Linked DNA regions of Macaca mulatta. The protein of the gene in region 4 interacts with the protein of the main gene of each other region in a pairwise test. Links are inferred from orthologs where the notes say so. Each region holds a gene or a part of one and is shown on either strand. Other genes may lie near its edges.

Region 1 (4,093 bases), on a different chromosome or scaffold from region 4:
AAACAATACTCGAAGATGAAAAATTAGAAGCAAATTCTCAGAGTTTGAGTATTTTCTCCTAATCCCTTCCATACGAGCTGACTCAATACTGACCTAGGACTTTAAAAACACTTCATTCTGGCCTTGAATATATGGAAAGAGAACAACTCTTTATCCCCAATAAAAATAAGAATGCATATGTAATTTGTTTATATATCCACCTGGCTGTCTCCACCCACAATGAGAAATAAGGAGAACAATTAAACCCTCTGTGGATTTCAGGCTCTGTTAACACCATTCTTAACCTTACCAACAGTTACTCTTTACCAATACTTTTACCTGCTTTAGAGACATTTCTGGAAGACAGCCAAAAGAACATACCTGTTCAGCAGAATTAGGAGCCAGGTCCTGATTCCTCTTCAGCAAGGCCTCACTGAAGGAGGTTTCATCAGGTGCTGGCTTGACCCGGGGGAAGGCCATTTCACACTAAACCAGAAGTAAACAACTACATTCCATTTGCCGAAAATAATATACAGGAGAGATTGTTTTTTCTATTACTACGACAGAAAAAGGTTAAAAATAGAAAATTCTACACTTGTTTTTACTCCTTAATTTGTTCAATTAGCTGGGCATGGTGGCTCACGCCTGTAATCCCAGCTGAGGTGGGAGAATCCCTTGAACACAGGAAGCGAGGCTGCAGTGAGCCAAGATCGTGCCACTGCACTCCAGCCTGGGCAACACAGTAAGACCCTGCCTCAAAAAAAAAAAAAAATTTTGTTCAAAGGCCAGGCATGGTGGGTCACGCCTGTAATCCCGGCACCTTGGGAGGCCGAGGTGGGCAGATCGCTTGAGGTCAGGAGTTCAAGATCAGCCTGGGCAACATGGTGAAACCCCGTCTCTACTAGATACCCAAAAAATAGCTGGGCATGGCGCCTATAATACCAACTACTTGGGAGGCTGAGGCAGGAGAACTGTTTGAACCTGGGAGGCAGAGGTCCTGATTCCTCTGCCTCCCGGGTTCAGTGCAGTGAGCCAAGATTGCACCACTGCACTCCAGCCTGGGTGACGGAGTGAGACTCTGTCTCAAAAAAAAAAAGAAAAAATGTTCAAACAAGGATACAAGCTGGAATAGCCATAATTTAAGCTATCACTATCTTTATAGTAACAAATTAGCCGTAGATACGATTACTTGTTCAGAACAAAGATTATAATCATGTTTAATGCCAACAGTAGTCAAGGAATTATTCTCCCCACCATGCTTACACTGTTTCTGTAGGTAAAGCAACACACAGTTGACTCAAAACCCCAAGTCTTTTCAAAAATCACTTTCCCCCTCACTTCAATCACCATTTTTTTTTTTTTTTTGGTAGTGGTGCCATCTCAGTTCACGCAACCTCCGCCTCCCGGGTTCAAGCGATTCTCCTGCTTCAGCCTCCCAAGTAGCTGGGATTACAGGCACACGCCCAAGCAACTTTTTTATTTTTACTAGAGATGGGGTTTCACCATATTGGCCAGGATGGTCTCAAACTCCTGACATCAGGTGATCCATCCGCCTCGGCCTCCCAAAGTGCTGAGATTACAGGTGTGAGGCACTGTGCCTGCCCTCTTCAACCACTATCTAACTTCATTAACTGGGAGATACTAGGCTCCATTTCAAGAATGGCCAGAAATTGTGTATTATTAACCCAAGGTACTCACCAAATAGAAGTCAAATGGGATATGTGGTACAAAGGGCCTGAACCTAAAACATGAAAAACAGCCAAATTATTCCCTATGTAGGAATCAAGTGAGATTTAAATAACACACCAACAATTTTGAAAACATGTCAGACCTCAGAATGAGTGACAAAGTCTCTGGGGAGGGAGAGAATCATTCTTAGCATAGTGGGGCCAAATTCATTTAGCAGGAGTGCGGAAAAGACCACAGTTGGCTCTCACAAAACCAAGTGACATTAGTCTATTCCAAAACTCCTATTTAGATGACAAGCAGAAACTAACAACTAAGTGCAGAGATGCTAAAAGCTGGCACTCACCCTCCTCCTGGGCCTCCTCTGGAACCAAAGCGCCCACCACGACCACGGCCTCTGTCACCCCTAGAAATGCAGATTTTATTTTGATCTCATTGAAGGAATACCCACCGGCCATATCATTTTAAGTTGGCTACTTTCATCCCTCGGAACCTCCCAACGGTAGGCAAGAGACCCCACTCACACACTCCTCCCCATTCCAAATGGTGCCCAGTTACACCCCCATAACCTCCTCATTCTGGATAAGTTAATCACAACCCCCCATCAAGTAATGATGGGGCTCAGACAGTGAGCCCTACACGAAATAACCCATAATCCTGGGCCACACGAATCCTAATACTTCGGAAGCTAAAGATTGCTCATTTCTTCATTAACGTACACATTTATCGGGCATGTCCTATATGTCAAGCCCTTCGCACTGAGGATGAATGCGGCTCGCTCCAGCATTCTCAGCCCGGATGACGGGGGCGGAGGGAAGGTGGGGAGCTCCTCCGGGGACTTGAGGACACCTCCTCATCGCAACCCTTCAGAGAGAGGTGTCGAACCCGCCTCCCCACTCCTGGGCCCCAACCCCATCCCGGGCCCGTTTCCCCGCCTCTACCGGCCTCACTCTCTCCCACTCTCTTAGACCAGGAGTTCTCAGGTTTTTGGCCAGCTCCCGGATACATGGTCCTTTTAGGTACTCCGACTTCTTTCGACCCACGTTCCCAAAGTTTTCCGTCGAATACCTGAAACCTTTCGACCACTTCGACCCCCTTACCTCATGGCGCCTTAAAACACGAACAATGGAGGCCGCACCAACCGCCCCTTTCCTCTGAGGAGCAGACAACTGAAGAGGAGTCTTGCCGGCGTGTCCCAATAAAACCCGGCGTGATTGGCTCCCGCCTTACCCCATCGCTTATGCCTATTGGCTTACTTTGTCAAACCGGGCTTATGAACCAATAAAAAACGCCTACTGTGTCAGGAACTAGCCAATAAGAACTGGTTCTATAGTAATGACGAATTTTTGATCAGACATTAGGTGGCACTGAAGAAGTCAGGACAACGACTACGTGGTCTTCTATAACAGTTATGAGAACGTTGGCCTTCAGATAGCAGAGTGGCGCAGCGGAAGCGTGCTGGGCCCATAACCCAGAGGTCGATGGATCGAAACCATCCTCTGCTATCGGAATTTTTTCATTGCCCTGTACCGTACACGTAATTTACATTACATTCAGTGAATGAAAATACCTTGCCGATTTTCCTACCCCAAAAACGCAAGCAGTATCAGCCATTTTTGCCACTAGCAGTTGAAGTTGATGGGGAAAAGGGAGTTTAGGCAACCATGAACACTACACGTCTACAAACTCGAAGCAGGAGAAACAGGTTTCAGATAGGAGGAGTATATTGATTGAATTAATGTGGAAAACAGGTGTTCCACCCGCCTCAGCCTCCCAAAGTGCTGGGATTACCGGCCTGAGCCACCGCGCCCGGCTTGGTTACATAAATTCTTTAGTGGTGATTTGTGAGATTTTGGTGCACTCATCACCCGAGCAGTATACACTGAATCCAACTTGTAGACTTTTATCCCTCATCTACCTCCCTTCCATACGTACTTTTTTGATATTTAATTTACTACAGCAGAACGTAAACATCTTAAGTCTAAACGTATTCTGTCCACATAACCACCATCCAGATTTAAATAAATGTTATTAATTTAAAAAAAAAAAAAAAAAAAAAGGGCCGGGTGCGGTGGCTTGTGCTGGCGGGCACTTGTAATTCCAGTTACTCAGGAGGCTGAGGCAGGAGAATCTTGAATCCAGGAGGCGGAGGTTGCAGTGAGTTGAGATGGCGCCACTGCACTCCAGCCTGGGTGATAGAGGGAGACTCCGTCTTAAAAAAAAAAAAAAAAAAAAAAAAAAAAAAAAAAAATCTTGCTTGAGGTTTGTTGAGCTTCTTGAATCAATGGCTTGAGGTTTGTCATCCATTTATATAATTTATTAGCTATTATATCTTCCAGTATTAGTTTTACCTATTATTTCCCTCCTTCCTGAACTCCAAAGACGTATTAGACTTTTCCCCCAGTAATCTCTTTGTCTCTTACCCTCT
Region 2 (4,282 bases), on a different chromosome or scaffold from region 4:
TATAGCATAGAGGCTATGTGGAAGTTTGTATTAGGAGCTGAGAGGCAATAAAATTGGTAATTGACACAGGAACTGGGCTCAAAGTCTTTAGGATTTATCGGCTTTGGGACTCAAGAGATTGGAAAATCAGACTGTGGATGGCTAAAATCAATGTAAACATCTCAGTTTTTATAATGGGAAGTACCCTGATTAGCGAGTTATCCTCATTGCAAATATAAACAATTCAGAAGACTGTAAAGTGTAAAGTCCTTGAAACTGAAAGTCCCTGATATTAATACTATTCATTCACCATAGATAAATTCTATTTTTTTTCTTTTTTTGAGACGGAGTCTTGCTCTGTCGACCAGGCTGGAGTGCAATGGCACTATCTTGGCTTACTGCAACCTCCGCCTCCCGGGTTCAAGCGATTCTCCTGCCTCAGCCTCCCGAGTGTCTGGGACTACAGGCGCGCGCCTCCACGCCCAGCTAATTTTTGTATTTTTAGTAGAGACGGAGTTTCACCATTTTGGCCAGGCTGGTCTCGAACTCCTGACCTCGTGATCCACCCGCCTCGGCCTTACCAAGTGCTGGGATTACAGGCCTGAGCCACGGCGCCCGGCCCTAAATACTATTTTAACAATATGGTGTCTTTTCTTCCAGACTGCCAGTAAATGAACAAACACATGATTAACACAAAAACGATACCATATGGACTCTTTAAACTTTTTTTTTCAAATTTACTATATCAGGGAATTAATATATCTTTTCGAGCCAATAGATATAGGTCTTCCAATTTAAAAGATTAAGTTACAATAGAGTGAGATTTGGTGTGCTATCCCTTTCGGAAAGCGTCCTCGATGCGGTCATATTGGAATTAACCTCCACTCCCCTCCTCTTCTCTGGGCTCCCGCGGACTCCAGGCTGAGTGCTGAAGTGTGGATTTTCACACCCAAACCTCTGTTATTTCAGTGTCTCACCTGGCTTCTCCACAGCGCAGAAGCTCAGCCCCAAGTTGGAAGAGCCTCCCCGGGAGATTCACAGCGAAGCGCTATTCAGGGCCCAACTCCAAGCCCAAACCTAGCTCCACCCTAAGCCGCCGCCAAAGACCCCTCTTCTCCCAAACCTCACCGGGGCCCCGCCCCTGACTCCGCCCACGAGAGCCCAAGCCTCCAGTCCTGCCCCACCCCGGGCTCCACCCACCAGCCGGGCTCCGCCTACCCGGAAGCACGCAGTCCTCCTCGTCCCGGGCTCCGCCCACCGGGAGTTCTCGCCGCTCACCCCACCCCGGACCCGCCCACTTCGCTTGGGCTCCACCTTCCCAGGAACTGGCGCCGCTTGCCCGAGCTCTGCCCATTTCGTCCCCGGCTTCCCGCGCTGAGAACTCGTGCTGCGAGCCCCGCCCACCGCGCTCCTGGCCCCACCGCCCGGAAACTGTCCCGGCCGCCCCGGGCTCCTCCCACCCCGCCCTGAGAGCCCGCGCGTGCCGCTACACGCCCGCCCTTTCCTACGTGTGGTCCAGTCGGTCTTCCTCCGGCGTCGGCGCTGGCTGAGCTAGCTGGCCATGGAGGGTAATGGCCCCACTGCCGTCCACTACCAGCCGGCCAGTCCCCCGCGGGACGCCTGTGTCTACAGCAGCTGCTACTGGTGAGGGGGCGCGGGCGCAGCCTCTGGGTCTCCCTGGCTCCCGGGCCGCGAGTTGCAACCAGGCCCCGCCTCTTCCCGGCCCCTGCTCGGGGGCGCTCCCGGCCTCTACCGGCGGGTTCTACAGTTCTGCGGGAGTAGGGAGCGGGAATGGCAGCTCTTGTCTCTTGAGTAGAGCGTGGGCTGTTGGATGGGGTTGGGAATTCGTCCGGAATCCTAGGGTCGATAGTGCATTACCTGTGCCTGGCGCTTGTCGGTTGGATTTGCTCAGCAGATCTCTGCTTCGGGGCTAGGGAGGGTGGAGCTCTGAAAACCTTTGGAAGTTACTCTGCTGAAGCATGTGGGGTTTCAGACTGAGGCGAAGGTCATTTTAATTTTGGAAGAGAATGGAAGCACAGAGAGTTTGGGATAACTTCCCAAGGTCACCCAGCTAATAGCAGCCAGGAATCCAGTTCGGGCTCTCTGGCACCAGAAACCATGATCTTAACCATGTTGTCATTATAATAATGGTTACATTCACACAGCCCTTGCTATATGCCACGCGTTGTTCTGGGTGGTTTAGGTAAACTAAATCACTGAGTATCACAATAACCCTAAGAGGTAGGTATTGTTATCCCCAGTTTAAAGATGAGAGCACTGAAGCACAGAGGGCTGCAAGTAATTTGCGCAGGGCCACATCACTTGTGAATGAAGGAGTGGGGATTTACAGGCAGAGTCTGGCCCCGGAGTCCATGCTCTGCACCCCTGTCCTAGGCCACCTCTGCAGCTGAAGCACCGCCCCTGCCTTGGTCCTTTTTCATTCCCATGCCTACTCTTTCCTGAGTAATGGTTTCTTCCCCAGCTTCTTCTAGTCCTTGCACAGGAACCCTCAGTGCTATCTAAAACTACCCTTCCCCCTTCTGCTTGTCACTAAATCAATGCCACCGAGCATTTGTTCGGCCCTGATTGCATGTCAGGCTCAGTGGCAGGTGCTTCCATCGATGTCCATGAGTAGCTTCTTTTACTATCGTTATCCTCATTTTACTAATAAAAAGAGTGAGCCACAGAGAGGCTGTTGTGTGCCCCCAGATCACACATCTAGCAAGTGGTGGTGCTGAAACTGGAACATCTTCGTGATTTTGAAGTTCATGCATCTTAACTGCTGCACTCTTTTTCTGTCCTGCCTCTTCTAAATCCCGTTAGTTCTCCTCCCTAATGTCCATTGTTTTATTCATTCATTCAATAAATGTGTATTAGGCACTTGGAGTATGTGGCCCACTTCTGGGCACTGGAGATACAGCAGTGAACAAGATGGACAAATTCACTCATGGATCCCTTGGTTCTTGTATTTTGATGAGAGAAAAGCAGATAAGGTCCGGTGCGATGGCTCACGCCTGTAATTCCAGCACTTTGGGAGGCTGAGGTGGGCGGATCACTTGAGGCCAGGAGTTTGAGACCAGGCTGGCCAACATGCAGAAAGGCTGCCTCTACTAAAAATACAAAAATTAGCCAGGTGTGGTGGCACACGCCTGTAATCCCAGCTACTCGGGAAGCTGAGGCAGGAGAATCGCTTGAACCCGGGAGGAGGAGATTCCTGTGAGCCGATGCCACTGCACTCCAGCCTGGGAAACAGAGCGAGATTCCATCTCAAAAAAAAAAGGCAGACAAAAACAAGTAAACCATGTTTGGGTGGTGTTAAGTGCTGTGAGAAAAATAAGATAAAGGATGGTGGCTTATTTTCTATTAGGATATTTTGAGAAGACATTGTTGATAAGGTGATATTTGAACAGAGATCTGAAAAAAGAGGGTGAGAGCTTTGCATCTATTGGAGGATGGTCATTTAAGCAGGGAGAACAGCAGGTACAAAGGCTCTGAGAAGGAATTGTGCTGTATGATAGAAACAGTGAGGAGACTGGTACAATTGGAGTATCAGAGTTAGAGCAGTCTTGTAGAAGAATGGTAAGAGTTGACCACTCTACCGCAGGATTTCTCCGCCTAGGTTCGAGTGACATTTTGAGCATGATAATTCTTTGCTATGGGGGCTGTCCTGTGTATTGCAGGACATGTAGCAGCATCCCTGGCCTCTACCCACTAGATGCTGTTAGCACCCTAGCTCTAGTTGTGACAACCAAAAATGTCTCCAGACATTGCTAAGTGTCCTGTAGGGCTTGGGGGGCAAAATCGCCTTTTGCTGAGAAACAGTGCTCTACCCTGTCTGAACATGTCAGGTGGGGGCACTGCACTACTTTGGCTCCTGCAGCTTTGTGGGGTTTTTTTATTTTTGAGACGGAGTCTCAGTCTATCACCCAGGCTGGAGTGCAGTGGTGCCATCTCGGCTCACTGCAACCTCTGCCTCCCAGGCTCAAGCCATTCTCCTGCCTCAGCCTCCCGAGTAGCTGGGACTACAGGCACCCACCACCATGCCCGGCTCATTTTTGTATTTTTAGTAGAGATGAGGTTTCACCACAGTGGCCGGGCTGGTCTCAAACTCCTGACCTGAGGTGATCCACCCGCCTCGGCCTCCCAAAGTTCTGGGATTACAGGCATGAGTCACCATGCCTGGCCATCCTGCAGGTTTTTAAACTTGAAATGAGTGCCTCCTGTCTACTTCTGTTAGCTTCTGTCATGTTAGCTTCCAAATGTTACTTATGCTTCAAGACCCTGCTTAATGATAATAGTGGCA
Region 3 (4,220 bases), on a different chromosome or scaffold from region 4:
TAGGAGACAGAGTGAGACTCCGTCTCAAAAAAAAAAAAAAAAAAAAGAGAGAGAGAGAGACAGGGCGCAGTGGCTCACACCTGTAATCCCAGAACTCTTTGGGAGGCTGAGGCAGGTGGATCACCTGAGGTCAGGAGTTTGTGACCAGCCTGGCCAACATGGTAAAACCCCATCTCTACCAAAAAATACAAAAAATTAGCTGGGTGTGGTGGTGGGCACCCAGCTACTTGGCAGGCTGAGGCAGGAGAATCGCTTGAACCCGCTAGACGGAAGTTGCAGTGAGCTGAGATCATGCTATGCATTCTAGCCTAGGCAACAGAGCAAGACTCCATCTCAAAAAAAAAAAAAAAAAAGATGGTTTAACAGAGCATGAATCCAAGGTTTATCAAAGCTTCTCTCACTTTGCCCATTCAAGAGGTAAAACCCATTTCCATAAATTAAAAATTCCTTATAGGGGATGCACTTCAGAAGAGGAACAAAGTACTCTCAGGCTGGGCGCGGTGGCTCACACCTGTTATCCCAGCACTTTGGGAAGCTGAGGTGGGCAGATCACTTGAGGTCAGGAGTTCAAGACCAGCCTGACCAACATGGTGAAATGTTGTCTCTACTAAAAATACAAAAACTAGCTGGGTGTGGTGGCACATGCCTGTAATCTCAGCTACTCAGGAGGCTGAGGCAGGAGACTCGCTTGAACCCAGGAGGAGAAGGTTGCAGTGAGCCAAGATCGCCCCACTGCACTCCAGCCTGGGCAACACGTGAGACTCTGTCTCAAAAAAAAAAAAAAAAAAAAAGTGCTCTGGAGAACTTAACGGGCTTTCTAAAGCTTTGAGATTACTTGAAAAAAGGGCAGTTGGCCGGGCACGGTGGCTCAAGCCTGTAATCCCAGCACTTTGGGAGGCCGAGGCGGGCGGATCACAAGGTCAGGAGATCGAGACCACAGTGAAACCCCGTCTCTACTAAAAATACAAAAAATTAGCCGGGCGCGGTGGCGGGCGCCTGTAGTCCCAGCTACTCAGGAGGCTGAGGCAGGAGAATGGCGTGAACCCAGGAGGCGGAGCTTGCAGTGAGCCGAGATCGCGCCACTGCACTCCAGCCTGGGCAACAGCGTGAGACTCCGTCTTAAAAAAAAAAAAAAAAAAAAAAGAAAAAAGGGCAGTGGCCATGATCCCTTACCCTGAAAGCTGATGCGGCAAGTGGCAAGTACTCATTTCAGAAAGGAGGTGGGTACCTGGCACCAAGGCTGAAACCCTTTCCCAGGCAGCACCCATGACTACTTTCTAAGCAGCATTTAGCACAAAAGCAGGTGTGAGCTCTGGTTACTCTTTGATATTCTTTTTCTTTGTAAAATCTTTTTTTAGAGATGGGGTCTCACTGTGTTACCCAGGTTGCTATTGAACTCTGGGGCTCAAGCAATCCTCCTGCATTGGTCTTCCAAAGTGCTGGGATTACAGGTATGAGCCACCACATCCAGCAACACGATTTTCACTGACAGTGGAAATATTTCCCTTTACATAGGCAGTAAATCTGACCCATTGAGAACAGTTTTCTTCAGAATTAGCTCTCTCCCTCCCCCTCCTCCACTTTACCAAAACCCACCTACAGGATGTCCTGGAAGAAAGGAGTCAGAGGGGTCCTCTCTCTGTCCCAGGTGTTGGCCTGTCCTGTTATTGGAATGCAAGGGTTATCTGGGCTTACCTACAGAGTCCACCTTGAATAATTGAATACATGTGTTTTCTTTTTTTTTTTTTTTAGATGGAGTCTTGCTTCTGTTGCCTAGGCTAGAGTGCAGTGGTGCAATCTTGGCTCACCGTAACCTCAGCCTCCCGGGTTCAAGCGAATCTCCTGCCACAGCCTCCCGAGTAGCTGAGAATACAGGCGTGCACCACCATGCCCAGTTAATTTTTGTATTTTTAGTAGAGACGGGGTTTCACTGTTGGCCAGGCTGGTCTTGAACTCCTGACCTCGTGATCTGCCTGCCTCGGCCTCCCAAAGTGCTGGGATTACAGGTGTGAGCCACCGCGCCTGGCCTTCTTTCTTTCTTTCTTTTTTCCAGACACGGTCTCACTGTTGCCCAGGCTGGAGTGCAGTGGCGCGATCACAGCTCTCACAGATCACTGCAGCCTCGACCTCCTTGGGCTCAGGCGATCCTCCAATCTCAGCCTCCCTAGCAGCTGGGACCACAGGCACACGCCACCATGTCAGGCAAATTTTAAAACTTTTTTTGTGGAGACGGGTCTCCCTACGTTGCCCAGGGTCGTCCCAAACGCCTGGCCTCGAGTGATCCTCCCGCCTTGGCCTCCCGAAGTGTTGGGATTACAGGCATGAGCCACCGTGCCCGGCTTTGTGTTTCTTTTTCTCTGCAATGGCGACATCACGACCTACAAGTCCAAATGTGTCCCATAACACATCATGGAACTTCTGGCATCTCCTATCAATCCTGTACGGGCTTCAAACTATGGGGATTTTCTAGGCGTGGTTTGCCAAGGCCAAAGGGCTACAGTGTAACCCCGTCCCTACCTCTATTCAGCCGACTCCATGCCAGGCGTTTTACAGATCCCGAGACCACCCCTAAACAAGACCCCTAACCGGAGTAGCCCCTCCGTCCCCTCCGTCCCGAGACTCCGCGCCCCTCAATGCGTCACCCTTCTGAGCGCCCGGCCTATATGGCCCCCGAGAGCAGCCTGTAATGCTCCCAGCCCCTGAAGCTTCCCGTTACGCGCCGTGTCCCCGGAGGTGCGGCCGCTGGGACCAGCACCGGCCCCGGCTCCATTCAGGTCGCCCAGCCCGGCCAGGCCTCCCGCTTCCAGCCGCTGCTGCCACCCTCAGCCGTCCGGCCTCCCGCGGAAAGGCGGGCGCGAGGCATCCTGGGAGTCGTAGTCGGCGGTTTGCTCACCTGCCCGCACAGAGGAGACAGGGACGACGTGAGGAACTACAGCTCCCAGGGAGCCGCGCGCGGCCGTTGGCGGGGCCGGGCCTCTGCCGGCGGTGGGCACGTTGCTAGGAGCTGCCCCAACGCCTCTCCAGGAAGAGGGCGCCAGGCTCAAAGGCCCTCTTGGGAACTGCCGAGACGCTTAAAAGTTCCTCCTGCCCACTTCTGAGGGCTGACACGTGGCCGGCGCGGAGGCATGAGAAATGTGTTGATATTGGGAGGTTGACGGGTGAATCCACGAATTCACCCGTGTTTATTCCACACCCCAAAGCTTGAGGGAAGTGACTGACCTTCCTGTTTAATGATCCAATCAAAGCTGTATAGCCAGAATGAAACCCAATACTGTCACCCCACAAAAAGATACGTCACATTTTTTCTAGTATGTGCTAATTATGAATTTTATTAAGGTTTATTCAATTTCACAGAGGAAAGAACGGTTTGTAGTTTGGCTTACCCGCAGTGCTGGCAGGTCACAGCTGTCCAACCATGATTCATTCACATGCTCTGGCCCCGTGCCCCTCGTCCTCCCACCTCTGCCCCCACAGGACACCATCAAGCCAGGGCTGGGTAACAGCATATGCTAAATACATCTTATCAGGTATGAACCAAACTCAAGCCACGACAGCAAAGGCGGAAAAAGGTAGCAAAGTAATTATGTGCTCCCAAGGCATACAGTCATTTAGTTGAATCCATAACAGTTGGAAATTAAAAGGCATTTATGAAGTGTAGTCCGCAGTCTGAATGTGGAAGGTGGAAGATCACACATTTACTAATCTAAGAAACACTCAAAACATATTTTGGTCTAAAAAATCCCCAATTTTCCATGATCTTCCCAAGACAACCAATGACCCACTTAAACTTAAGGCAGAAACACCCTTGAATCTAGGAACGTGCACATATGCAACAGCTAACATCTGGTAACTCTAACAATGTTCCTTATATGTTTCTGTGTTTACTATCATGGACCATAGGAATCAAGTACTGGAAAATTTAGTAAGCGTGCACAAAAGCAAAACACTGGCTGGGCGCAGTGGCTCACGCCTGTAATTCCAGCACTTTGGGAGGCTGAGGTGGGTGGATCACGAGGTCAGGAGTTCAAGACGAGCCTGGCCAACTTGGTGAAACCCCGTCTCTGCTAAAAATACAAAAAAATTAGACGGGCATGGCAGCAGGTGCCTGTAATCACAGCTACTCAGAAGGCTGAGGCGGAGAACTGCTTGAACCCAGGAGGCGGAGGTTGCAGTGAGCCAAGATTGCACCACTGCACTCTGGCCTGGGTGAAAGAGCAAGA
Region 4 (3,573 bases):
TGTGCATAAAGTTCTTCATATGATGTTCCAAGCACTGCTCTATGTTTGTTAGTAGTATTTATGTACGTGTGTGTGTGTGTGTGTGTGTGTGTGTATATATATATATATAACTGCATACATTTAGATCTCAGAATATTCAGCAAAAGCTAACCTAGCCTCATGGAAGCTACTTTCTATAGCTCCCTTAAAACCTGATGAGTAAATGAAGAATTAGGACATGATATCACCAACTCATGAACCTCAGCCATGGAACCCCAATGCCTGGCACAATACTACAAAAAGGACTTGAGAAAATACTTTCCTAGTAAAATTACAGGGTTAATCAATATAAGAACTGTAGGCTATGAATGTCCAACACTACTTTCTTAGCACCTCTAGAAAGTAGTGATATCATACGGAGAAAGTAGTTTTATTTTCCAGTTTGAAGTAAACTATTGGCCAGAGTGGGATTTTGGGACCCATATGGGAAAGCAACACCATTAACCATTTCCTCCCCACACCCATTCCAACATCTGAACCCAATCCTACCAACACCCAGAAAGCAACAACAATGTAAACATCCATATTCACTTTATTTTTAAACAGAGGGGCATGTACCCAAAGAGAAGCAGGACTGAGAACCATCATGGGGGCTTGCTTGAAGTGATCTGCCCCAGCCTTCTGACTTCAGAGTGTCTCATGATCCAATGGCCATGGGGGTGGAGCTGCCCCTTGACAGTATGCACTTAAGAATGGTCAATTCCCCTATCCCCCAAAGGAAATGGAGAAAAGGAGCCAAGAAGTCAATGAATCCCTGGAATATTGTCTCAGAATCCTTCCAGGGATGGTATACCACTGACCACCAGTCCACAAATGTGACTGGTAAGGGATCTAGTAACAGAGGATGGAGTTGGGCAGAATATTATCCTGGATGATATGCGCCCAGCACTAGAATACACCTTTCATTAGAATGAAGGGAGCAGACAAAACCCTCAGAAAAGATACAAAGGCAGAGACATTGATTAGAACATTATCTCATAACAGAGGTGGGGCCATTACCCACCATTATTGTAAAATAACTGTAACTAACCAAAACACATACAGGCCTCTTTAATGGAGTTAATAAAACTATGGCAGATTGGGAATCAGGGGCAGAGGTACTGTTCCCAGATGGAAAAACTGGGATAACGGAGCCATGCTGACAGGGCCTTGTTCCAGTCTAGGTTGTTAGAAAGGAGCCCTAACCCAGAAATGACAGCAAACAGCCATAATCATTATGTGGGGCTGAACCAGAGGAAGCCAGGCTGAGCCAAGAAGGTGGAAGTATCTGGAATGGCTCTCCAAATCCAAAGATTATCCATACTCTTTATCCCTCCAGCAATGTGTAAAACCAGAAAGTGTGAAACACTGGAGGTGGACATCTGGTTTTTATTTCTAGGATATCTTGATACATCTCATTACATTTCACAATCTGCACGGGAAGGAAAAGGATGGTAGAGAACATGGACATCCTGTCTCCCACTGCAAGGGCATGGAACATGGTAAGTATACCCAGCTGTGACAGGACGTGGCAAGGCAACAAGATGCCTTGTGCCTGGCATAGGATTACAGCCAACAGCCCTTTTGGCCTGAATCCACCTCCTCAAGGGGAGGTCTCCATGGAATGACCATGATTCCCAACATGGCCAGAAAACCCATCTATCCCACTCATGGGGCAGATGATCAGAGGAGCTGCGCTTTTCCCTCCCGAGTAACTCAGACTGAAGTAGGGCCGGACAGGCCCACAAAAGGTAGCATGAGAGAAAGTGAAAGTGTGACACCTCTCTGTCACGTTGTAGAAGGAGACCTCGCCAGCATCATAGTCCAAGAAAATCCCCACCCGCTGAAGCGGGGTCCGCAGGGGGAGGGCAGTCATCGGGGAGGTAAGAGCCCAATATTCTTTCCCATACCACAAAGACACTGCCCAGAATCCATTCTGGGGGGCTGAGGTTACTCCACCTTTTCTGCACACTGAGTCTTCACAGACACCTATGGTCCACTTGGCTTTATCTCCCACCTCTACCTCCCAATAATGTCTCCCAGCGATGAAGCATGGAGAGCCCAAGACACAGGGAAACAGATTGAACCGCTCGGGGTTGTCAGGCAGGTCCTGTTGGAGGTAACTGTACCGCACTTGCCGCAGATTGTCAGAGAGGATCAGGCTGGGGTAGGCCGTGTCTGGGTCCAGAGTCACGTCCACTGCAGAGACACAAAGAAGAGAGTCAGCCACGGGCCAGGAGAGCCTATTCTAGAACACTCAGTGCCTTTCTACTACCTCCCCACGAATGAGAGTTTGCCACTAGAGGTTGCACGTATTTTATTTAGAATATATTCTAAACTTCACATTTCAAAAATTACTGCTTGGATTAGCTGGTTACCAGAATACACTGAAAATACTGAATTTTAGCCCCATATCTTTTCTTTCACATCTGAAGCCACAATATCCATTATGAACCGATTTTAAGAGATAGGGTCCTGTTGCCCAGGCTGGAGCGCAGTGGTGTGGTCATAGTTCATTGTAACCCCAAACTCCTGGGCTCAGGTGATTCTCCCGCCTAAGACTCCCAAGTAGCTGGGACTATAGGTGTGCACTACCACCCTAATTTTAAAAAATTTTTTGTAGAGACGAGGTCTTACTGTTGCCCAGGATGGTCTTGAACTCTTGGCCTCAAGCAATCCTCCCACCTCAACTTCCCAAAGCAATGGGGATTTCAGGCATGAGCCACTGTGCCTGGCAGATACACTGAATTGAGGTTTTCTTACATGCTCATCATCCCTTATTCTGAAAACTTCAGGGGCCCAAAGTTTCACAGAATTCAGAATATTACAGGTTTTAGACAGGTAGGGTCTGGCGCAGCATTCTATAATGAAATATTAATAGATCTGCTATGAGATCCACGAATGTTTACATAATGAAGGATAGACTCTAAACAGCACCACATAAATTCACGTTTTGATACTGTAATTTCCTACAAAATAATGAAAAAGGTTGTGGCTTTCAGAGATTGGGGATTTTAGAACTGTGGGTAAAGGACTGGGAACCTGTATCAGTATGCTTACCTTTTAAATCACTCTTTTACAATTATTTTTTACTGTATTTTTTGAGATGAGGTCTCACTCTGTCACCCAGACTAGTACAGTGGCATAATCATGGCTCACTGCAGACTTCATCTTCCGGGCTCAAGCAGTCTTCCCATTTCAGCCTCCCAAAGTGTTAGGACTACAGGTGTGAGTCACTACACCCAGCCCAAATCACTCTTTTATCCATTCTATAAGATCTTTACTCTGCACATCAAAGCTCTATTCATCTTCTTCTAATGTCCACTGCAAGACACACATCCTCCAAGTTTTTCTTAATCTGCCCAGGCCATTACACTCTTCCTGTTCTGAAATCTGAAACTATGTATGATCCATGTCATCTCCTCTGGCATTTAGTATTACAGCATCTTGCTATCATCAAGTGTTTTCCTGCTTCAAAAACACTGATAATGGGCTGGGTGTGTGACTCATGCCTGTTAATCTCAGCACTTTGGGAAGCTAAGGCAAGAGGATCGC
Region 5 (4,383 bases), on a different chromosome or scaffold from region 4:
TGGTGCCTTTGAGTAAATCACATTCGTATGACACAAAATTAAAAAAATATCTATACCCCATGCCCCAGAGACCCAATTTTTCTACACAGAAAGCAATCAATTTTACCAATTTCTTGTGAAACCTTTTGCCTATAAAGACAAATACACATATTCCCCTCTTTTTAACACAAATGGTGGCTTCTTCCACACTATTCTGCATCTTGCTTTTCACATTTATCTTGTTGGCTGTATTTTAATTAACACACTCTAAGAATGGTCACTTATAATCTCTCATAACCAGAATCCAGTAAGCGTCAGCTATCTTTACAAAGGCACTTACAAGGCCACCCCAAAAAGTCCTTAAATCAACCAGTGTTCTTAGTAAACGCAAGCATACAAGCACATGAAATAAATTTTGGTAAAGTGCAGATTTACCAAAAAAGTGACATGATGAAATATTTATTTGATCAGCCATTCAAAAGACTGGATTTACACCCTTAAAAAGGAAACACACGGACTATACTACAAGTCTTCAATGAGTTGAAAATAATCCACTTATAGAACTGGGGCTACTAAAATATCAAAAAATACTGGCGAAAATAAGCTATTTATTGGTTATATTTATTGCAAGATTAAATGATGTGACTCTTTCCTAAATGTTCTTTGCAACTGATTTTCCCAAAAGAAGTTTCCTTCCATATTTATACAGGTACTGTTCTAAACAACACAAAACAAACAAAAAACCTGTCTGCATTTCCTGTTTTCTTCTTCTGAAACACTTTTGATGCTTATCTGAAGTAAGGCTTCCTCATCCCTTATGTATAAAGAGCAGTGTTTTTTTGTTTGTTTGTTTGTTTGTTTTAACAATATGCATTACTAGAGAGCAATACAAGTATTTCTGGTAATCTTCAACTTAAGTACTACGAATCTCACAGTGAAAAGTGAGCTCATAAAAAGCAAAGAGACCATATTAATTACCAAAGCAGTAACTTACCACTTGTAACAGAAAATAAAGCACTAAAAGTCTATTAAGTTTCAGGCTTGTACAACCTTATTAAACAAGAAATGTTTTAGGTTGTTGGCAACAATATTAGCTGCTATCTTTCATTAGGAGTATGTATGTCAGCTAACCTGGAATACATTTTCATATTAAATAAGTTAAAATTGCTGTTTCACTGTATCAGTACAGACACTTATTGACTCTATTTCTGCGCTGTACCACAAAATACAAAGTCATCCTTCCATTCAGAGTTTTGGCATATGAACACAGAGGTCAGAGTTCATACACATGCTCTGTAAAACCGATCATGACTTACATACTACTACTTTCAATAAGTCTGTTGTCATTTTTGAATTTTAAATAATTTTTCTCCATGTATACTCATCACATATTTAGAATGCTGAATTTCACAAATCATTATTGACACTATCAAAGTACTAACCGTAAAAGAAAAACAAAAATAGCAATGATATATTCAATAATGGTATGTGAATCTTGAAAATAATCATTTTCTGTATTACTTTTTGTTTAATTCATGTGGGGAAGACAATCTGGCATTCTTGTTCATCTTGGTACGACACACTGTACTAATACTTGCATAATTTTGAGTCAAATTACTAGAGCATTGTGAATATCTTACATAAACGTAGTACTAATGTATATAAATTCTGCAGAACTTAAGAGCAATGGCAGGCAATTTTTTTGAAAATCTGTTAAGTCGTGATAAATCTACTCAATAAGGAGATGAAATAATGTATTAATCTGGTGAAATCTCACATTTTTAATAGGTCTACTTTTCAAAAGTAAGAATCAAGTTACCTATGAGGGACATCATAATGAAGTTTCGTGGCACAACACGAGTCACAGAGGCACTGTCTTAGGACAGTCTGATCGGTAACTTGTAAACAATATTTTGAAATAAACTACTCATACAACCCATTATTTTTTTCCTAACTAAAAATATTTACATGTCTTTAATACACCAAACACCTCGCCTTTGCCCACTCAAAAAAGATTGTGATGTCAATAAAAATGAGGCCTACGAATTTGGGGGTTAAGTGGAAGACATAATTATCTCGTTTGGAATAACTTGCTAACTCAGGTGAAAATTCCCTTACCCCCGCCACCAAATAAGACAGTATTCTATTATGTCTCCCTTTGACTCCTAACACCCAACTAAGAAGGACTAACTCTGAATGTCCTTCCTTTCTAATCAATACCTTTGGACTCACCGCTCCTCCCCTACGAAAAGAACAGTGAAGGCCTGACAAGCAATAACCCCAAATACCCTCAAAAGTGTGGGCCTTTGAGCAGCACTGCTCTTCGTATCCAGTTACCACCTTTCCCCTTCCCCCAACCCACTTCCCGGGTTTTCTCAGGCTCGGCCTGCTCCCTCCCCACCCCACAGCCACATTTCCAGCTGTGGCCACCGCCTCGGGTTCTCTCGTGAGCTTCCATCCCTCCGAGGAGCTCCCCCCTGTCCATCAGCTCCCCAAACCGTGTTCCACCCCAGACCACCCGCCCGCGAGACCGTTCATCCTAGCGCTCTGGGAGGGGAGGGGAAGGCGGCGGAAGGAGGAGGGGAACACTGCTGCTTCCTCACAGGCAGAAGGGCGGCCGCAAGGAGGGCCACCCAGGGACTACCGAGGATATCGGGGTCGCAGCTGGGAGGACCCTCCCGCTCCAGGCAGAGATGGGGGATATCCGGGAGTTCATTTCTGACCTCCTCGCTCTTCAGCACCTCCTTGAACTCCCGCTTGATTCGCTGCACCGCGATGTTGGCCATGTCTCCGCCCGCAGCTGATTCGTACCCGCCTCCTCCGCCACCGCTACGACCACCGCCACCGCCGCCACCTCTTCCTCCACCGCCTCCTCCCCCGGCGATTCAGACCCGAGCACACGAACACTGCCACTACCACCCCGGCCGCCGCGCTCGCCTCAGTGTGGAATCACCTCCGCGCCCGGCCACCAAAATGGCGCCGGGTCGGCGCATGCGCACGACGCTGACCCGGCCGGGCGGCGCAGCCGCTCCCGTTGTAGCCCCCATACGCCCGAGCCACGAGCTCGCGTCTCGGCTGGGGCTGCGGCCGCGTGGCTCCGCCCTGCCGGCGTCTGGGGCCGCTAGGGCGCGGCTTCCAAGGTGGCCGGCCGTAGCCTGCCCGCCCGGTCCTACCCGGCGCCTCCGCTCCTGTTTAAACCCAGGTGCTGTGGTCGGGGCTTCCAGCGCTGGCCTCTGACCGAAGGTTCGCGCGCAGCCGAACGGGTTCCCGAAGCCGCACTCGGCTGGAACGCCGCCCTGACTCAGCTAGACCCGGAACCCGGAGGCTGAACGCCGTGTCTAGCGCAGGAAAACGCTCTCGCGGATCTCGGTCCGGCCCATTTTCAGTTGGTGTAGCCCCAGAAAATCCACTGCAGTCGTTTTTGTTCTGCAACATTTATAGTACCACGATTATTCCCATCATCTCAGGTAGCACAGATTATCGAATTAAGGCTGGTTATTGTTGGATCAGATTGGGTTTGAGACAGGTACTCGGTGGAGAGGCCTGAGGGTGGGTTTACAAGTCAGATGTTGATCTTTGACCTATTTAATACCGAGCTTGACACACACACACTCTCTGTCACACACACACACCACACACACACACACTCCTGTGCCCATCCCTAGAGTGTGGAGCGGGCCTAAGACTGCGTTTCTAACAAGTCTCCCAGTTGCTGCTGCTGTTGGTGCTGGTTCGGGGACCACACTATGAGAACCACTGAACTGAAGCGTGTGAAAATTCATATATATTAAATTGAAAACTGGAGAAATAGAAATTATAGTGCCCTTCAGGGGACTGGGATGGGGGAGGGGGAGCCTTATTTCTGTAAACCTAGGCCTACAAAGGTGCTTGGTGATAGTAGGCACTCTATAAATATTGAATGTGTAAATGAGTACAGATAAGAGTAAAACGCTTTTGCTGGCGCGGCGGATCACTTGCAGTCAGGAGTCCGAGACCAGCCTGGCCAACATAGTGAAACCCCGTCTCTACTAAAAATACAAAAATCAGACAGGTGTGGTGGCAGGCGCCTGTAATCCCGGCTATTCTGGAGGCTGAGGCAGGAAAATCGCTTGAACCTGGGGGGCGCAGGTTGCAGTGAGCGAGATCGCGCTACTGCACTACATACAGCCTGGGCCACAGAGCAAGTTTATGTCTCAAACAATACAAAACAAAAAGTATAAAATATTTTAAGTAGAAAGTAAGTTTGAAAGTGGTTTCTGGTCGGGCGCGGTGGCTTATGCCTGTAATCCCAGCACTTTGGGAGACCTAGTCGGGGCAGATCACTTGAGCCCAGGAGTTGGAGACCAGCCTGAGCCCCATGGTGAAATCCTATCTCTAAAGATAATAATTTTTAGAAAAGGAAGT
Region 6 (3,630 bases), on a different chromosome or scaffold from region 4:
ACTGATCATTCCACTTGCCTGCCCCATCACAGAAGTCACCTTATTGTTTACCTGGTTTAGTGGTCTGTATTCCTACTACACAGTAAGTGGCTGGAGGGTGCAGAGATGAGCTTTGCACATGTCCCATTCCCAGGACTTACCATATGTCCTGGAACATGATCACTACTCACCAAAGCTTGTTCCAAGACACGTTTGCCCCTCCACGTGTCAGTGGGTCATTCAGGAGAGCCCCTGGCTAAAACACATCTATGTGTACCTGCCTTCTAATCTGAGGACTGGCAGCCCCTGGGCTCCTTTTGCCCTTCTGCTGTCTCATTTTCTGCATGATTTTCTTCTGCTTTAAGCAATTTTGGTGGCTCCTTCCCTGCCTTCCGTCTATCCCACTCCCGTCTAGTTTTTTCTTATTCAGTTACAGAAGTGAGCCTGGCCAAGAAAACAGAAAAAAGACTTCCCTCTTGGGAAACCTGGCTGTCCCAGGAGCTTGTGAAGGTTCAGCCCTGTGCTGGCAGTTCCTGCCCTGAGTCTGTTCTTCTGGCCCAGGTCTCTTGGGTTCACTTCCCAGACCAGGCCTGGAAGTATGCTAGAGTGCTCACTCTTGTATACTTGTACACTCTTGCTGGCACTTCCTGCTGACGTGGGAAGACCCTTTCCCTAGTGTTGAGTCAGAGCTTTCAGAGCCCTTCCCAACTTCCTGCCTGGCCCGGTTTTATACATGCTGCCCAGCCTGTTGCATTGAAAACATGGAGGGCATGGTCTACCTCACTCCAGACCTGAGAGAGGAAAGGAGGCCTCCAGACCCATGTCTAGCCTGCCATTTGGATTTGACCAGGACAGTATGTAAAGAAATTTAAAAGCACTAGGGTGCTGTAAACTTCCAATTTTAGTGTAAAACATACGAGATAATCGGTGTTGTGATTTCAGATGAAAGTGCTAAATCGTGCCATAGAAAGACAGCATCATCTTGGTGGACAGATCTGATCCTAAAAAAAACTTTAAACTCCCTGTCTATTTTATTGACTCTTGTATCCCAAGTGCCAAGGCACATGGTAGACACACAAATATTTTTGTGGGAAAAAAATTGGGGCCTTAGTTTAGTAAGTGCAAATGTGGAATGCAATTTTGGGCCCTCTGTCTTTAAGTATTAGTGATAGCAAATGAGATTTATAGAAAACTGATATGATGGGAAAACATAAAAATATTTGGAGTAAAACCAGTTGCCTGCTTCTCCATTACCCTTCCCTCTCCATGCACACATACTAATTTCTCCTGAATTTTCATGGTCTGTTTGAATTAATGAAATTTTAACTTAAGCTTGTTTATTATTGTTGTTGTTGTTGTTGTTTTGTTTGCTTGTTTCAAGAGACGGTCTTGTTCTGTTGCCCAGATTGGAGTGCAGTGGTGACATCACAGCTCACTGCAGCCTCAGCCTCCTGGGCTCAAGCAGTCCTCCTGCTTCAACCCCCCTAGTAGCTGGGACTACAGGCATTTGCTGCCATGCCCGGCTAATTTTTTATTTTTGTATTTTTTTATTATTATTTTTTGAGATGGAGTCTTGCTCTGTCACCCAGGCTGGGGTGCAGCAGCACAATCTCAGCTCACTGTAGCCTCTGCCTCCTGGGTTCAAGCGATTCTCCTGCCTCAGCCTCCCGAGTAGCTGGGACTACAGGCATGCGCCACCATACTTGCTAATTTTTGTATTTTTAGTAGAGACAGGGTTTCACCATGTTGGCCAGGCTGGTCTCGAACTCCTGACCTCAGGTGATCCACCTGCCTCTGCCTCCCAAAGTGCTGGGATTACAGCGTGAGCCACTGCACCCAGCCTTATTTTTGTATTTTTTGTAGAGATGGGGTCTCATCATGTTGTCCAGCTTGGGTTTTGAACTCCTAGCCTCAAGCAGTCTTCCCACCTTGGCCTCCCAAAGTGCTAGGATTATAGGCATGAGCCACTGTGACCAGCCTTTTTTTTTTTTTTTTTTTTTTTTTTTTTAGCATTAAAAGCAAATTATTTGGCTGGGCATGGTGGCTTACGGGTGGGATCACTTGAGGTCAGGAGTTCGAGGCCAGTCTGGCTGGCATGGCAAAACCCTGCCTCTACTAAAAATTCAAAAATTAGCCTGGAGTGTTGGTGCACGCCTATAATCCCAGCTACTCAGGGAACTGAGGCAGGAGAATCGCTTGAACCCAGGAAGCGGAGGTTTCAGTGAGCTGACATTGTACCACTACACTCCAGCCTGGGCAAGAGAGTGAGAAGCCATCTCAAATAATTAAATAAATAAATAAAGCAAATGATTTACTCTTTTTTCCTCCACATGCTGCATCATTATTTCCAATAAATAACTTCAGTTAGGGCCTCCGAAGACTTTGAGAACTCAGTGAACACATGAACGAGTGAACAAACGAATGAATGAATGAAAGTTTTGTGTTTGTCACAGATGTGAGAGACTAAGTTATAGCTTATAGCTTCCAAAATGTGACTTCTTTGTTATCAGTTGAGGGAATCTGCATAATTCCTTAGAAGTACTCTTGATTGTTAATCCCTCCAGGCTAAAAGAAGGAGACTGTTTCATGTAAGATTTTATTCAAGTTAATTTCAAAAGAAAACACAGGACACAGATTTTCCCTTTCTTGAAGGAAATGTTTGGAGTTCCTGTTGGATACATAAGCAAGCTGGTTAATTAGGTTAATTAATTGGAGAGAGGGGATGGGAAATGCCCTTGGGAGCTCTGCATCCTGCCTATGTACCTCACACGCACACCCTGCGCAGGCACACTGGCTTTCCACTCACTCCTTAGAGGCATCAGGGTCTTGGCTGAAATGAGTCTCTAGCTTTGTCCCACTCAGACACCGACTTTAGGTTTGTGCTGGCATGGGGTGGCACTGGTGGTGGGGAGGGTGGGAAAGCATGCCGAGATGCTCCTGATCAGACTTGTCCCCAGGCTGGGGGGTTGGCAGAGGCATGACCAGCATGTCCTGTTCCTCCCTCCTCCCTGGAGATCGGATGCTCCCTACCCCCAGCTTTAATCAGAAGCAGTTGATTATACCATGTTGAGTAGGGCAGACCTTGAATGGGGATATGAAAATCAAGCCAATCAATCAACATTAGCAGTAATGATACAAGCTGGTCCTGTCGCTTCCTGAGTTGTCTCAACGTTATTTTAAACTGCCTCTTTGAAAAATCTTTCTTACAGAAAGGAAGAGGTTTTATCAGAATGTCAGCATCACACAGGGTGAAGGTGAGTGTCTGAAATTTTGACTGCCTCTTTTTTTTTTTTTTTTTTTTTGTGAATGGTCGGGAACATTTTTCATCTTCAGCTGGTTCCGTGGTGAGATTATCCTTCCTGCTTTTGTCAGATATATTTCTGTAAGGGACTCAGAGTTGGCTTTGTCTGCACCAATTCAAGTGGCTAAATATAGGAATGGTCACTTGATTCCACTTAACAAATCCCTGAGAGTTTTTCATTTGATCTTTCAAGGTGGCTTTGAGATAAACCTGGACCAGAGGAAGCTGAAAACTCCCCAAGCCAAGCTCTTTACCGTCCCCAGTGAGGCCCTGGCCATTGCAGTGGCCACTGAATGGGATTCCCAGCAGGATACCATCAAGTACTACACCATGCACCTGGTAACAAGTTC
Region 7 (4,355 bases), on a different chromosome or scaffold from region 4:
CCCCCAATTTACCTTTCCAAGCCTGTTACTCTATTCCCCATATATACTCCCACTGTTTTAATCTAAGGATAATAAAAAAGAGAACTAAAATTCATTTAAGGCTTTTTTTGTGCAGAGCCAAATCTTAGCATTCTATATACTCTATAGATTATTTAATTCTTACATTAACTCTGTAAAGACAGTATTATTTCCACTGTCTTTATTATTTTAAAAATTATTATTTTAAAGATGGAGAAAATAAAATGCATAGATTTTAAATATTCTCTGTTTTCTTCCTAATACATGAAACTTCTTGTCCTTTCCTTTGCCTTTTAAACTTTGTTAAGGTTGTGCCTTTTGCCGCCTCCTTTCTTCCCTCTCCGTGTGTTTATGCTTCTTTCCAGGCCAATATAAAATGTCATCTTCCTTTTGAAAATTCTGTGTCCCTTCAAATTAGAATGACTCCTCAACCCCCATCAAACTTAGTTTTTATTTCATTTATAGTACTACTTTCTGCCTTCATTATTATTTGCCTACATGTCTTGTCTTTTATAAAGTTTGAATATCTGAAGAGCAGGATCTGTATCCTGAAGACCTCTTGTATCTAGTACAGAACAAGATACCTAAACTTAGATGGGTGGATAGATGAGTAGGTAGGAGGATAGATGCATGGAAAATGTGTATTTTCTGATCTAATGTTTTGCAGATTACCTAAAGCTAATCATCACAATTTTCTAAGTCTGTGGATGATTCCTAGGGCCCCAAACATGACACAGTAAACTCTATGACATGATGAAAAAAAAAAAAACAGCCTCCACACTTTTGCTTACATGGTTTTCTTTGCTTAAAGTACCTTTATCCCTCAGTCCTTCATTTCTTTATCTTAGGAGTGAAACTGCTTTTGGGAAGCCTTCCCCAAGTCTGTTAGGTGGAATCTATCATTCCATCCACTGTACTCCAGCAGAACATTATGTGGACCTGCATGTCACACTTACTCCTTTTACTGTGCGTAATTCTCCTGTGCTTTTCTGTTAGTGTAAACTGTAAGTTGTAAAACTCACCAAATATGAAAGTAATCATTAGCATTTATTAAAGTATACTACTTCCCTGGTGCTATATACTAAGCACATCATATTTATCTTGTTATTTAGCCCTTACAATAACCATTATTCTACAATAATAGATTGTTCTACAATAATAGAATAAGGTAGACACCATTTTTCTATTTTACAGATGAGTGATGGGGAAAGAGCTTTTGGAAGTTTGAGTTACTTCCTTATGGTCATGCAACTAAGTAAGTGTCTGAGATTCCAGAATCTGAATTATTACCCTCTATGCAGTGTTTTGTCTTGTTTGTTTCCCTGTCACCCTCACATGACACATAATAGACCTCAATAAAATAGTTAAGTAAGTGAATGACTGAACGACTGATCATAGCTATTCTCTAAATGTTTCTTGAGTGAATTGATTTATATAATCAGAGGAAAATGAATAATGGTTTCTTTTTCTCTTTAGCAGGAATTTTACCCTCTAGGGCATGAATACTGTGCTGTTCAGTTCTGAGCTGTGCTAGCAGTACCCTTCAAAGGAATAGCAATGGCTGCAGCAGCAGCTTCTCACCTGAACCTGGATGCCCTCCGGGAAGTGCTAGAATGCCCCATCTGCATGGAGTCCTTCACAGAAGAGCAGCTGCGTCCCAAGCTCCTGCACTGTGGCCATACCATCTGCCGCCAGTGCCTGGAGAAGCTATTGGCCAGTAGCATCAATGGTGTCCGCTGTCCCTTTTGCAGCAAGATTACCCGCATAACCAGCTTGACCCAGCTGACAGACAATCTGACAGTGCTAAAGATCATTGATACAGCTGGGCTCAGCGAGGCTGTGGGGCTGCTCATGTGTCGGTCCTGTGGGCGGCGTCTGCCCCGGCAGTTCTGCCGGAGCTGTGGTTTGGTGTTATGTGAGCCCTGCCGGGAGGCAGACCATCAGCCTCCTGGCCACTGTACACTCCCTGTCAAAGAAGCCGCTGAGGAGCGGCGTCGGGACTTTGGAGAGAAGTTGACTCGTCTGCGGGAACTTATGGGGGAGCTGCAGCGGCGGAAGGTAGCCTTGGAAGGTGTCTCCAAGGACCTTCAGGCAAGGTATAAAGCAGTTCTCCAGGAGTATGGACACGAGGAACGCAGGGTCCAGGATGAGCTGGCTCGCTCTCGGAAATTCTTCACAGGCTCTTTGGCTGAAGTTGAGAAGTCCAATAGTCAAGTGGTAGAGGAGCAGAGTTACCTTCTTAACATTGCAGAGGTGCAGGCTGTGTCTCGCTGTGACTACTTCCTGGCCAAGATCAAGCAAGCAGATGTAGCACTCCTGGAGGAGACAGCTGATGAGGAGGAGCCAGAGCTTACTGCCAGCTTACCTCGGGAGCTCACCCTGCAAGATGTGGAGCTCCTTAAGGTAGGTCATGTTGGCCCCCTCCAAATTGGGCAAGCTGTTAAGAAGCCCCGGACAGTTAACATGGAAGATTCCTGGGCCATGGAGGCGGCAGCCTCTGCTGCTTCTACCTCTGTTACATTTAGAGAGATGGACATGAGCCCGGAGGAAGTGGTTGCCAGCCCTAGGGCCTCACCTGCTAAACAGCGGGGTCCTGAGGCAGCCTCCAATATCCAGCAGTGCCTCTTTCTCAAGAAGATGGGGGCCAAAGGCAGCACTCCAGGAATGTTCAATCTACCAGTCAGTCTCTACGTGACCAGTCAAGGTGAAGTGCTAGTTGCTGACCGTGGTAACTATCGTATACAAGTCTTTACCCGCAAAGGCTTTTTGAAGGAAATCCGCCGCAGCCCCAGTGGCATTGATAGCTTTGTGCTAAGCTTTCTTGGGGCGGATCTACCCAACCTCACTCCTCTCTCAGTGGCAATGAACTGCCAGGGGCTGATTGGTGTGACTGACAGCTATGATAACTCCCTCAAGGTATATACCTTGGATGGCCACTGTGTGGCCTGTCACAGGAGCCAGCTGAGCAAACCATGGGGTATCACAGCCCTGCCATCTGGCCAGTTTGTAGTAACTGATGTGGAAGGTGGAAAGCTTTGGTGTTTCACAGTTGATCGAGGATCAGGGGTGGTCAAATACAGCTGCCTGTGCAGTGCTGTGCGGCCCAAATTTGTCACCTGTGATGCTGAGGGCACCGTCTACTTCACCCAGGGCTTAGGCCTCAATCTGGAGAATCGACAGAATGAGCACCACCTGGAAGGTGGCTTTTCCATTGGTTCTGTAGGTCCCGATGGGCAGCTGGGTCGCCAGATTAGCCACTTCTTCTCGGAGAATGAGGATTTCCGCTGCATTGCTGGCATGTGTGTGGATGCTCGTGGTGATCTCATTGTGGCTGACAGTAGTCGCAAGGAAATTCTCCATTTTCCTAAGGGTGGGGGCTATAGTGTCCTTATTCGAGAGGGACTTACTTGTCCGGTGGGCATAGCCCTCACTCCTAAGGGGCAGCTGCTGGTCTTGGACTGTTGGGATCATTGCATCAAGATCTACAGCTACCATCTGAGAAGATACTCCACCCCATAGGGGATGAGAAATATCATTTTCTTCTGCTCCCAAGCCAGCTTCCCTTCCCATAGTTCTTGGTTGTTAGTGGCACATAGAGAATAGACTCGGCATATGTCCTGATTCCAGCTGGGTAGTTCTAGAACTTTAGAAGCTCCATCTTTTTATGTTTTTTATTTGTTATTTTCCCCTCCCCACTTCCCACCTAAATTTAGAGCTTTAAAAGATGCACTGCCCAAATAGGACACGCAATGGTGTTAGCTGAAGTTTGATTAGCAATTAGGCACTTCCAAGGCTTTAGTAGAGAGAGCCACTTTAGCCCTTTGTGCCATGTTTGAAATGTGCCCTTGTATTAAATCCTTGATTTTTTCCCGTTTGGCTCTGATGCCCTTGATCCATTGTTTCCTTCCTATTACAATGTGCTTCATCTGTGACACTTTCTCTTCAACTCTGATTGGATTCACTGTGCATGCTTCAGTGGGATATGCTCCACCTTTCAGTGACATTTCAGACATATTCCTGTAACATTATGTCTCAGTCTGATCGTCTTTACCAGTGTGAAAGCTCATTCATTTAGTGCTACCAAAGGGGATACACAGGCCCTTTAGGAAGCAGTACCTCTCGCCTGGAGGATCTGTGCCATCTTGGATTGAGAACTGCAGATGTGACAGAATGGATTGACCCTAGTTGGTTGGTATTGACGACTTCAGCCTGGAAATTGCTTGCCTTTTAAAGAAGCATAATATGGATTGGAATTATGCCAAAGCATAGGAAGCTAGGAATAAGCAAACAAATGCTGATATAGTCAGCAAACTTGGATAGTCTCTAGGGCTCATCGT

The links.
Region 1: the proteins of TRIM27 (region 4) and ILF2 interact in binary tests that used the Homo sapiens proteins (3 or more experiments, as listed by UniProt). The two-hybrid records come from large-scale screens. The link is inferred for Macaca mulatta from reciprocal best matches to the Homo sapiens genes TRIM27 and ILF2.
Region 2: the proteins of TRIM27 (region 4) and NTAQ1 interact in binary tests that used the Homo sapiens proteins (3 or more experiments, as listed by UniProt). The two-hybrid records come from large-scale screens. The link is inferred for Macaca mulatta from reciprocal best matches to the Homo sapiens genes TRIM27 and NTAQ1.
Region 3: the proteins of TRIM27 (region 4) and FBF1 interact in binary tests that used the Homo sapiens proteins (3 or more experiments, as listed by UniProt). The two-hybrid records come from large-scale screens. The link is inferred for Macaca mulatta from reciprocal best matches to the Homo sapiens genes TRIM27 and FBF1.
Region 5: the proteins of TRIM27 (region 4) and UBE2K interact in binary tests that used the Homo sapiens proteins (3 or more experiments, as listed by UniProt). The link is inferred for Macaca mulatta from reciprocal best matches to the Homo sapiens genes TRIM27 and UBE2K.
Region 6: the proteins of TRIM27 (region 4) and ATPAF2 interact in binary tests that used the Homo sapiens proteins (3 or more experiments, as listed by UniProt). The two-hybrid records come from large-scale screens. The link is inferred for Macaca mulatta from reciprocal best matches to the Homo sapiens genes TRIM27 and ATPAF2.
Region 7: the proteins of TRIM27 (region 4) and TRIM32 interact in a two-hybrid assay, tested with the Homo sapiens proteins (2 studies listed by BioGRID and IntAct). The link is inferred for Macaca mulatta from reciprocal best matches to the Homo sapiens genes TRIM27 and TRIM32.

Annotation. Positions count from the first base shown.
Region 1 is NC_133406.1:113,368,469-113,372,561, reverse strand, and holds the start of ILF2 (interleukin enhancer-binding factor 2), read right to left. Parts: upstream 2,859-4,093; 5' UTR 2,771-2,858; coding exon 2,766-2,770; intron 2,072-2,765; coding exon 2,012-2,071; exon of another isoform or gene 1,980-2,011; intron 1,721-1,979; coding exon 1,678-1,720; intron 485-1,677; exon of another isoform or gene 466-484; coding exon 361-465; intron 1-360. UniProt on the Homo sapiens protein: Chromatin-interacting protein that forms a stable heterodimer with interleukin enhancer-binding factor 3/ILF3 and plays a role in several biological processes including transcription, innate immunity or cell growth.
Region 2 is NC_133413.1:133,837,095-133,841,376, forward strand, and holds the start of NTAQ1 (protein N-terminal glutamine amidohydrolase), read left to right. Parts: upstream 1-1,478; 5' UTR 1,479-1,540; coding exon 1,541-1,623; intron 1,624-4,282. UniProt on the Homo sapiens protein: Mediates the side-chain deamidation of N-terminal glutamine residues to glutamate, an important step in N-end rule pathway of protein degradation.
Region 3 is NC_133421.1:85,649,320-85,653,539, forward strand, and holds the start of FBF1 (fas-binding factor 1), read right to left. Parts: upstream 2,838-4,220; 5' UTR 2,721-2,837; exon of another isoform or gene 2,643-2,720; intron 2,379-2,642; 5' UTR 1,696-2,378; intron 1,662-1,695; exon of another isoform or gene 1,597-1,661; intron 1,506-1,596; exon of another isoform or gene 1,373-1,505; intron 1-1,372. UniProt on the Homo sapiens protein: Keratin-binding protein required for epithelial cell polarization. Involved in apical junction complex (AJC) assembly via its interaction with PARD3. Required for ciliogenesis.
Region 4 is NC_133409.1:154,437,060-154,440,632, reverse strand, and holds the end of TRIM27 (zinc finger protein RFP), read right to left. Parts: intron 2,218-3,573; coding exon 1,622-2,217; 3' UTR 560-1,621; downstream 1-559. UniProt on the Homo sapiens protein: E3 ubiquitin-protein ligase that mediates ubiquitination of various substrates and thereby plays a role in diffent processes including proliferation, innate immunity, apoptosis, immune response or autophagy.
Region 5 is NC_133410.1:38,909,766-38,914,148, reverse strand, and holds the start of UBE2K (ubiquitin-conjugating enzyme E2 K), read right to left. Parts: upstream 2,815-4,383; 5' UTR 2,766-2,814; coding exon 2,703-2,765; intron 1-2,702. UniProt on the Homo sapiens protein: Accepts ubiquitin from the E1 complex and catalyzes its covalent attachment to other proteins. In vitro, in the presence or in the absence of BRCA1-BARD1 E3 ubiquitin-protein ligase complex, catalyzes the synthesis of 'Lys-48'-linked polyubiquitin chains.
Region 6 is NC_133421.1:19,597,870-19,601,499, reverse strand, and holds part of ATPAF2 (ATP synthase mitochondrial F1 complex assembly factor 2), read left to right. Parts: intron 1-3,188; coding exon 3,189-3,233; intron 3,234-3,473; coding exon 3,474-3,619; intron 3,620-3,630. UniProt on the Homo sapiens protein: Plays a role in the assembly of the F1 component of the mitochondrial ATP synthase (ATPase).
Region 7 is NC_133420.1:41,594,620-41,598,974, reverse strand, and holds the start of TRIM32 (E3 ubiquitin-protein ligase TRIM32), read left to right. Parts: upstream 1-1,494; 5' UTR 1,495-1,575; coding exon 1,576-3,537; 3' UTR 3,538-4,355. UniProt on the Homo sapiens protein: E3 ubiquitin ligase that plays a role in various biological processes including neural stem cell differentiation, innate immunity, inflammatory resonse and autophagy.